Macaca mulatta: one gene and its partner. The protein of the gene in region 1 purifies or fractionates together with the protein of each later gene. This does not show direct contact. Links are inferred from orthologs where the notes say so. Each region holds a gene or a part of one and is shown on either strand. Other genes may lie near its edges.

Region 1 (3,944 bases):
TTTGCAAACCTGGAGACATTCACCTCAGTGCGTGGTAGGTAGTCAGGGTCTGCAGGTACTCGGGCGATGAGCTCACAGAGGACAATTCCGAAGGCAAAGACATCAGCCTGGGGGTCAGAGATAACAGTGTTGTGGAAGAATTAACAGTTTTCATTTCAGAATTTTGACAGAATATAGCTGAATTTGGTTGAGGGTGGGGGATCTTGACAGTTTTCATGTGTTGGAAGGGTGCCTGTGAGGGGCAAAGGGATCTTGGGGACTCCTGAAGATCTGGTAGGGTTGTTTTGGGGATGGATGGGGCTTTATGAGAAAACCTCAAGGGTCTCGGAAGGCCTTGGGGATCTGAAGGGTTGATGTCTCACCTTCTCATCATACAGCTCACCCCGTAACACCTCTGGAGCCATCCAGTATGGGGAGCCCACCACAGCCAATGGCTCCTTTCTTGCCCCCTCCCTGCAGGGGCAGGGGCAGGGTGGTCAGAAACATCCTACTCAGGCATCTCCCCCAGGGAAAAGGGGATGAGGTGAACTCCCTTCTCTCCCCAAGGGAAACATCGCTGGGGCTCTGGGGACATCAGATAGGGGCACTCTGGGAGATTTGGGGGGAACAGGGACATTCACCTCACCTATACACAGGAATCTTTTCAGCCAGCCCGAAGTCACCCACGACAGCGGTGAAGCCTCGATCTTCCCGTCGGACTAGACAGTTCTGACACACACACACATAGTATCCCCAAGCACTCATCACCTTCTGCCCTCTGGCCTCCCAATGTATAACCCAAAGCCCTGTCACTCCAGCATAACCCCAACCCTCTCTGCTCTCCCAGTTTTTCAAGGCACTTCAATATCGCAACATCACCCAACACTCCAAACACAGGGTGCTATTCAGTCCCTCCGAGCACTCCCCTCACCCTGGTCCCCCAATATTCTCCAATGCCTCGCCACTCCAACATCCTAATATATCTGTTATCCACATTCCAATGTCCACAGGACAGTTACAACCTAATAGTCTCAAACCCTCTTTCATGCCTCCACCCACCCCACTAGCCTACCTTGGATGTAAGGTCCCGGTGAAATACACCTTTGGAGTGCAGGTACCGCAGGCCTCGGGCAATGTCCAGGGCCAGGCGGAGCCTGACAGGCCAGGATAGGGGTTCAGGGGAGCTGAGCAGCTGTTCCAAGGTCCCCCCATTCATATACTGGTGCATAGGAGGAGAATGGGAATGGATGTCAGACTTCAGTCTGTATTCTAGGTCCCCCACTTATAAGCTAGGGGACACTCCGGAGGATCACAGAGGTCAGAGGGGTAAGATTGTGCTGTAGGACCCTCCATCCATGTTCTAGGGTTGCCCTGTTCAACTCAGTAGCCATTAGCCATGTGCAACAACTTAAATAATTTAAAATTTTTAAAATTTAATCAAGTTGACCCACAAAAAAAATCTAAACAATTAACATAATTTAAATTTAACCACATGTGGCTAGTGGCTACTGTATAGGACAGCACAGATAGAGAACATTTCCATCACTGAAGAAAATTCTATTGGACAGCACTATTCTAGGGGATACAGAGAATAAGACCAGCTGAGGCCTTTTATACGTGGTTTGCCTAAAGGGAAGTTCAGGAAAGCCTCCCCTGGGAGGAGATCCTGTTGCCTCTCACTAGTCCTCCGTAGATCCACCAGGCCTGTTCACTGCCTTTATCCTTGGGGGTGAAGGGGGGGTGGGGATCCCTCCTTCCTGGTCTATCCTCACCTCTGTAAGAGCGTGCAGCTGTCCCTGGTGCACACAGACCCCCATGAACCTGCCAGAGAAGGGGGAAGATAGAAGGGTAGGCTGTTAAGGGCCTCAGCTCCTCCTCAGTTCCACGTTTCCCGCGGGATCTTTCCTTTTCTCTCCCGCCCAGCAAGCTGCCCAGAGACTGGGGCCGCTTACCTTAGGATGTTGGGGTGCCTGAGCCGGTTCATCAGTTGCACTTCTCGTAGTGTGTTGCCCCGGTTACTGGGGAGCTTGTTCATCTTCAGCACCATGACTTGCCCTGACTGTCGGTGCCGAACCTGGGGGCGGGGGCGGCCGGCGAGGGTCGGGCAGGTCGGGAGGGTCGCCCGAGTCTGGACCCTCTTCCCCGCACTCCCGGCCCCCTAGTTGCAGCCTCTGGTTGAAGGCTCGGTCCCGCCCCTCTGCCCTCTCGGCCGGTCCTACCTTGTAGACCTCAGAGAAGAAGCCGGCCCCGATCTTCTCCGCGCAGTGAAAATCGTCCACACGGGCCAGGCTAGACACGGCGCTGCGGAGAGCCCGGTAGGAGGAGGGGCGGCCGCGGCCCGGGCCTCCGCCCGCGCCCCCCGGCCCCGGGGGCCCCTCCCCCGGCACCTCTCCAGGCCCGGGCCCAGGGCCCCGCAGTGGGGGCCGTTCCCCGGCCATGGCCGGGCCCCCAGCCCGGGCCTGCCTCACATGGCAGGGTCCCCGGGGCCCGGGCAGGCCGCGCTTGCCATGGGCGCGGGCCCAGCCAGATCCTGGGCGCCCGGACTCCCGCTCCCGCCTTGAGAATGAAGATCAGCCGAAGATCCTGGACCCGCCCCCGCCGCGCCGGCTAGCTGGGCCCGGGTGGACGCCGCGCCGCTCCGCTCTGCGTAGGCCTGGGCTTGGGCCTGGACCGGGCAGTGGCGGTGACGGTGGCGGCGACGGTGGCGGCAGCGCTCCCGGGCGCCGGCGGGCTAGCTCGCCGCGGGCGGAGGCGGGCGGGCGGGCGGGCGGGCGGCGGCTGCTCCGCTTAGCCGCCGGGGCTCAGGCTCCGCGGCCTGCCGGGGGCGGGGCTGGGCCGGGCCTCCGCTTAACTCCTTCCAGCCCGGCCTCCCGGCAGCGGCCACGCCCCCTCAGGTGCGCACCCCCGCCTCCCCGCTCTCCGGCCGCGAGGCCCTGGGCCGCCCGGGTCAAATAAGCTCAGGCCTGAACTTGAATAACGAAAGGGAATTAAGGGCTGATGGTGCGCATGCGAAGCTTAGCTGCCCAGGGAGTCCCCTGTCCTCCCTGGGACTGTCCGTTGTGGGTCGGGCTCAGAAACCTGCCGGATTCTTGGGCTCCAGGGACCAATGGGGCAGAAACGTAGGCCCCTCAGGCCCAGTCGCAATCTGAGGCAGCCCAGCAACCTGTCCACCTTCCTGGCCTGCGCCGCGGCCCAGCCTGCCCATTTCCCAGGTCTCTTCGACTCCGACACCTTGAACCTCTGGCCTCCCTAACACCTTCTACCTTCACGGGAGGTTGTGATACCTCGGGGCTATAGGGAGCCTTTGACCGGCCCATACCCAGCTTAGCTCCGACTCCTCACTTCATCCTGCCGTCTCCCAATAAAGAAGAGAGTCCAGGTCCTCCGCCCTGTGACTACCCAGCCGGGATCTCCCTCTTATTACTTTGTCCAAATGACTCTAAGAGAGAAGCCACCACCTGCAGGGAAGCCCCTCCTTCCGCAAGATCCCACCCCCTCAAAGAACGCTTTCTCTCGGAGACACCTCCCTTTCGGGAGCACTTTTCCCCAGTGTGGCACTGCCACCGTCAGTGTGTGTCAGAACCCCTCAGTGCTGCACCCCCTTGCTCTGTGTTCCTCCCACGCAGTGAGACCCCACCTCCGAGTGACTCCACTAAGTCATTGTGACCCCTCCTCTCAAGGTGACTCCTCCCCTCAGTGTGACCCAGCCCTCCTCAGTGTGAGGGTTCCGCCCTCCACGTAGGAACACGGTCTGTCCCCTCAGGCCAGAGGAGGGGCTGCAACTGGCCTCTTTAAGTCGGCGCGGTGCCCGGGTGCGCATGCAGTCTGCGGACTCTGTGCACTTGCCGTACCAGGTACTTCCGGTTCTGCCGCTGGCTCCGCCTCCGGCCTCGGCAAAATAGCCAATCATCGCCAGGGTTGGGTGGTGACACGCGATCCCGGCAGGCCACTCCGGGGCAAACGGT
Region 2 (3,500 bases), about 42 Mb from region 1:
TTATCTCTGTTCTTTTTCTTTTTCTTTTTTTTTTTTTTTTTTTTTTGAGACGGAGTCTCGCTCTGCCGCCCAGGCTGGAGTGCAGTGGCCGGATCTCAGCTCACTGCAAGCTCCGCCTCCCGGGTTCACGCCATTCTCCTGCCTCAGCCTCCCGAGTAGTTGGGACTACAGGCGCCCGCCACCGCGCCCGGCTAGTTTTTTGTGTTTTTTAGTAGAGACGGGGTTTCACCGTGTTAGCCAGGATGGTCTCGATCTCCTGACCTCGTGATCCGCCCGTCTCGGCCTCCCAAAGTGCTGGGATTACAGGCTTGAGCCACCGCGCCCGGCCCTCTTTTTTTTTTTTTTTTTTTTTGAGACAGAGTCTCGCTCCGTCACCCAGGCTGGAGTGCAGTGGTACGATCTTGGCTCACTTGGAGTCCAGTGGTACGATCTGGTACGATCTTGGCTCACTGCCATCTCCGCCTCCCGAGTTCAAGTGATTCTCTTGACTCAGCCTCCCGAGTAGCTGGGATTACAGGCACCCACCGCTGCACCCAGACAGTTTTTGTATTTTTAGTAGAGACGGGGTTTTGCCATGATGGCTAGGCTGGTTTCAAACTCCTGATCTCAGGTGATCCTCCCGCCACGGCGTCCCAAAGTGCTGGGATTACAGGCGTGAGCCACCGTGCCCGGCCTATCTTTTTAGTTTTATTTATTTATTTATTTATTTATTTATTTATTTATTTATTTATTGAGACAGAGTATGTTACTCAGGCTGAGTGCAGTGGCCCCATCTTGGCTCACTGAAACCTCCTCCTCCTGGGTTTAAGCGATTCTCCTGCCTCAGCCTCCTCAGTAACTGGGATTACAGGTGCGTGCCATCATGCCCGGATACTTTTTTAATTTTTAGTAGAGACCAGGTATGTTGGCCAGGCTGTTCTCGAACTCCTGACCTTAAGTGATCCACTTGCCTCAGCCTCCCAAAGCTCTGGGGCACCAGGCCTCATTATCTCTTTTTAAATGCCAATTTTGCTGTGGGAAAAACATACCAGGTAAGAGATATAACAAAGAAGTCTAGAAGTGAAACAGGCTTTCCTTTTTTTTTTTGAGACGGAGTCCCGCTCTGTCCCCCTGGCTGGAGCGCAGTGGCGCGATCTCAGCTCACTGCAAGCTCCGCCTCCCGGGTTCCTGCCATTCTCCTGCCTCAGCCTCCCAAGTAGCTGGGACTACAGGCGCCCGCCACTGCCCCCGGCTAATTTTTTGTATTTTTAGTAGAGACGGGGTTTCACCGTGGCCTCGATCTCCTGACCTTGTGATCTGCCCGCCTCGGCCTCCCAAAGTGCTGGGATTACAGGTGTGAGCCACCGCGCCCAGCAGGCCTTCCTTTTTTAACTTCTGCTTCCTACATTAGGTAATTTGTAGACTGGGATGGCCCTGACCAGCCCCAAGGTGCCCACCAGTCCATACTTGCGTCAAACACGTGCAGGTTCGTGTCCTGCACAGGCTGGGCACCTCTCTCTCCGCCCCCAAAGACATACAGCTGGTTTCCAATGGCTGCGGATGATGTGTGGAATGTTCTTGGGGATGGTGGGGGGCTGGTCACTTCTGGCGTGGTCCACATCCTGGTTTCTGGGCCAGAGAGAATGAAGGCACTTAAAATACCGAGGTTGAGGGGCTTCTGACCTTGACTCTGGGGCTGAGTGAAGTCAGTTTTCAGACTCCAATCCCAAGTGGGGACAGCCTAGTTTTGGGCAGGGATCTCATACTCACAAACATCAAGGAAGAATGAAGATGATACTTAGGATTTGCCAAGACGGTCCAAAATCCCCAAGATTTAAAAGCCGTAAGTACAAGAATGGGGTCAGGCTGGGTGCAGTGGCTCTTGCCTGTAATCCCAGCACTTTGGGAGGCCAGGGCAGGCGGATCACTTGAGGTCAGGAGTTCGAGACCAGCCTGGCCAACATCGGGTGAAACCCCATCTCTACTAAAATTAGCCAGGCATGGTAGTGGGGACCTGTAATCCCAGCACCACAGGAGGTTGAGGCAGGAGAATCGCTTGAACCCAGGAGGCGGCGGTTGCACTGAACTGAGATTGCACCACTGCACTCCAGCCTCGGCAACAGAGCGAGACTCTGTCTCAAAAAAATAAAATAAAATAAAATAACATAAAATAAAATAAAATAGGCCGGGCGCGGTGGCTCACACCTGTAATCCCAGCACTTTGGGAGGCCGAGGCGGGCGGATCACAAGGTCAGGAGATCGAGACCACGGTGAAACCCCGTCTCTACTAAAAATACAAAAAATTAGCCGGGCGCGGTTGTGGGCGCCTGTAGTCCCAGCTACTCGGGAGGCTGAGGCAGGAGAATGGCGTGAACCCGGGAGGCGGAGCTTGCAGTGAGCCGAGATCGCGCCACTGCACTCCAGCCTGGGCGACAGAGCGAGACTCCGTCTCAAAAAAAAAAAAATAAATAAATAAAAATAAAAATAAAATAAAATCACCCTCTTTGACAGAAGCTTTCCAAATTCTCACTGTATTTTATTTCAATGGATACCACTGTTGAAAATCGAAAGGCCAGGGTTCTAGAACTGATTTCCCTTTGCCAAACCTTAACTACACCAACTACCACAATTATTGAGCATTAATTATGTGCCAGATACTGAGTTTATTTAAATCCTTGACAAATTAACAAGGGCAGAAACTGTTATTATCCAACGTGACAGAACACAGAGGCAGAGAGAGATTAAGTCACTTGTCCAAGGACATAGTTAGTGCCTAGCAAAGCAGAGACCCTCATCTGTGCCCTTAACCACCACATCATACTGCTACTCCTCCAAGCAAATTGGCTTCACAATTAGCCAAATGGTCTGCCAAGTGTCTATCTCTTTCTTCTTCTTTTTTGTTTTGAGACGGAGTCTCACTCTGTCACCCAGGCTGGAGTGCAGTGGCGCGATCTCGGCTTACTGCAACCTCCACCTCCCAGGTTCAAGCGATTCTCCTGCCTCAGCCTCCCAAGTAGCTGGGACTACAGGCACCTGCCACCACGCCCAGCTAATTTTTTTTTTTTTTTTTTTGTATTTTTAGTAGAGACGGGGTTTCAGTATGTTGGTCAGGCTGGTCTGGAACTCCTGACCTTGTGATCTGCCCTCCTCATCCTCCCAAAGTGTTGGGATTACAGGCGTGAGCCACCATGCCCCGCCGTGTCTACTCTATTTCTGACAGTGTTCTGTACCCTGAATATTCAACAATAAACAAACTCTTCCCTTCGAAGCACTTATGTTCCATAGAGGGAGGGCAGGGAGGAGGAGGGACGACAGGAAATACATACCCAAACAAATAAATCAAATTGAAAGATAACATACTGTCTAAATATGCTGAAGGAATTTAAATACTTGACATGTAAGAAAATTTGGTCCTAGTTCCTGAACTCTGACCAACTATTGTACAAATAGATTTTTTTTTAATTTTTATTTTTTTATCGGGCAATACTCAACAAATGCATTAGGTGGGCAACACCCCAAAT

The links.
Region 2: the proteins of TESK1 (region 1) and RABEPK purify together in Homo sapiens (affinity purification with mass spectrometry; 3 studies listed by BioGRID and IntAct, with this or other methods). This does not show direct contact. The link is inferred for Macaca mulatta from reciprocal best matches to the Homo sapiens genes TESK1 and RABEPK.

Annotation. Positions count from the first base shown.
Region 1 is NC_133420.1:64,090,122-64,094,065, forward strand, and holds the start of TESK1 (dual specificity testis-specific protein kinase 1), read right to left. Parts: upstream 2,801-3,944; 5' UTR 2,588-2,800; exon of another isoform or gene 2,418-2,587; coding exon of another isoform or gene 2,199-2,417; intron 2,054-2,198; coding exon of another isoform or gene 2,027-2,053; coding exon 1,932-2,026; intron 1,801-1,931; coding exon 1,752-1,800; intron 1,199-1,751; coding exon 1,052-1,198; intron 709-1,051; coding exon 626-708; intron 454-625; coding exon 363-453; intron 108-362; coding exon 24-107; intron 1-23. UniProt on the Homo sapiens protein: Dual specificity protein kinase activity catalyzing autophosphorylation and phosphorylation of exogenous substrates on both serine/threonine and tyrosine residues.
Region 2 is NC_133420.1:22,549,178-22,552,677, forward strand, and holds part of RABEPK (rab9 effector protein with kelch motifs), read right to left. Parts: intron 1,609-3,500; coding exon 1,447-1,608; intron 1-1,446. UniProt on the Homo sapiens protein: Rab9 effector required for endosome to trans-Golgi network (TGN) transport.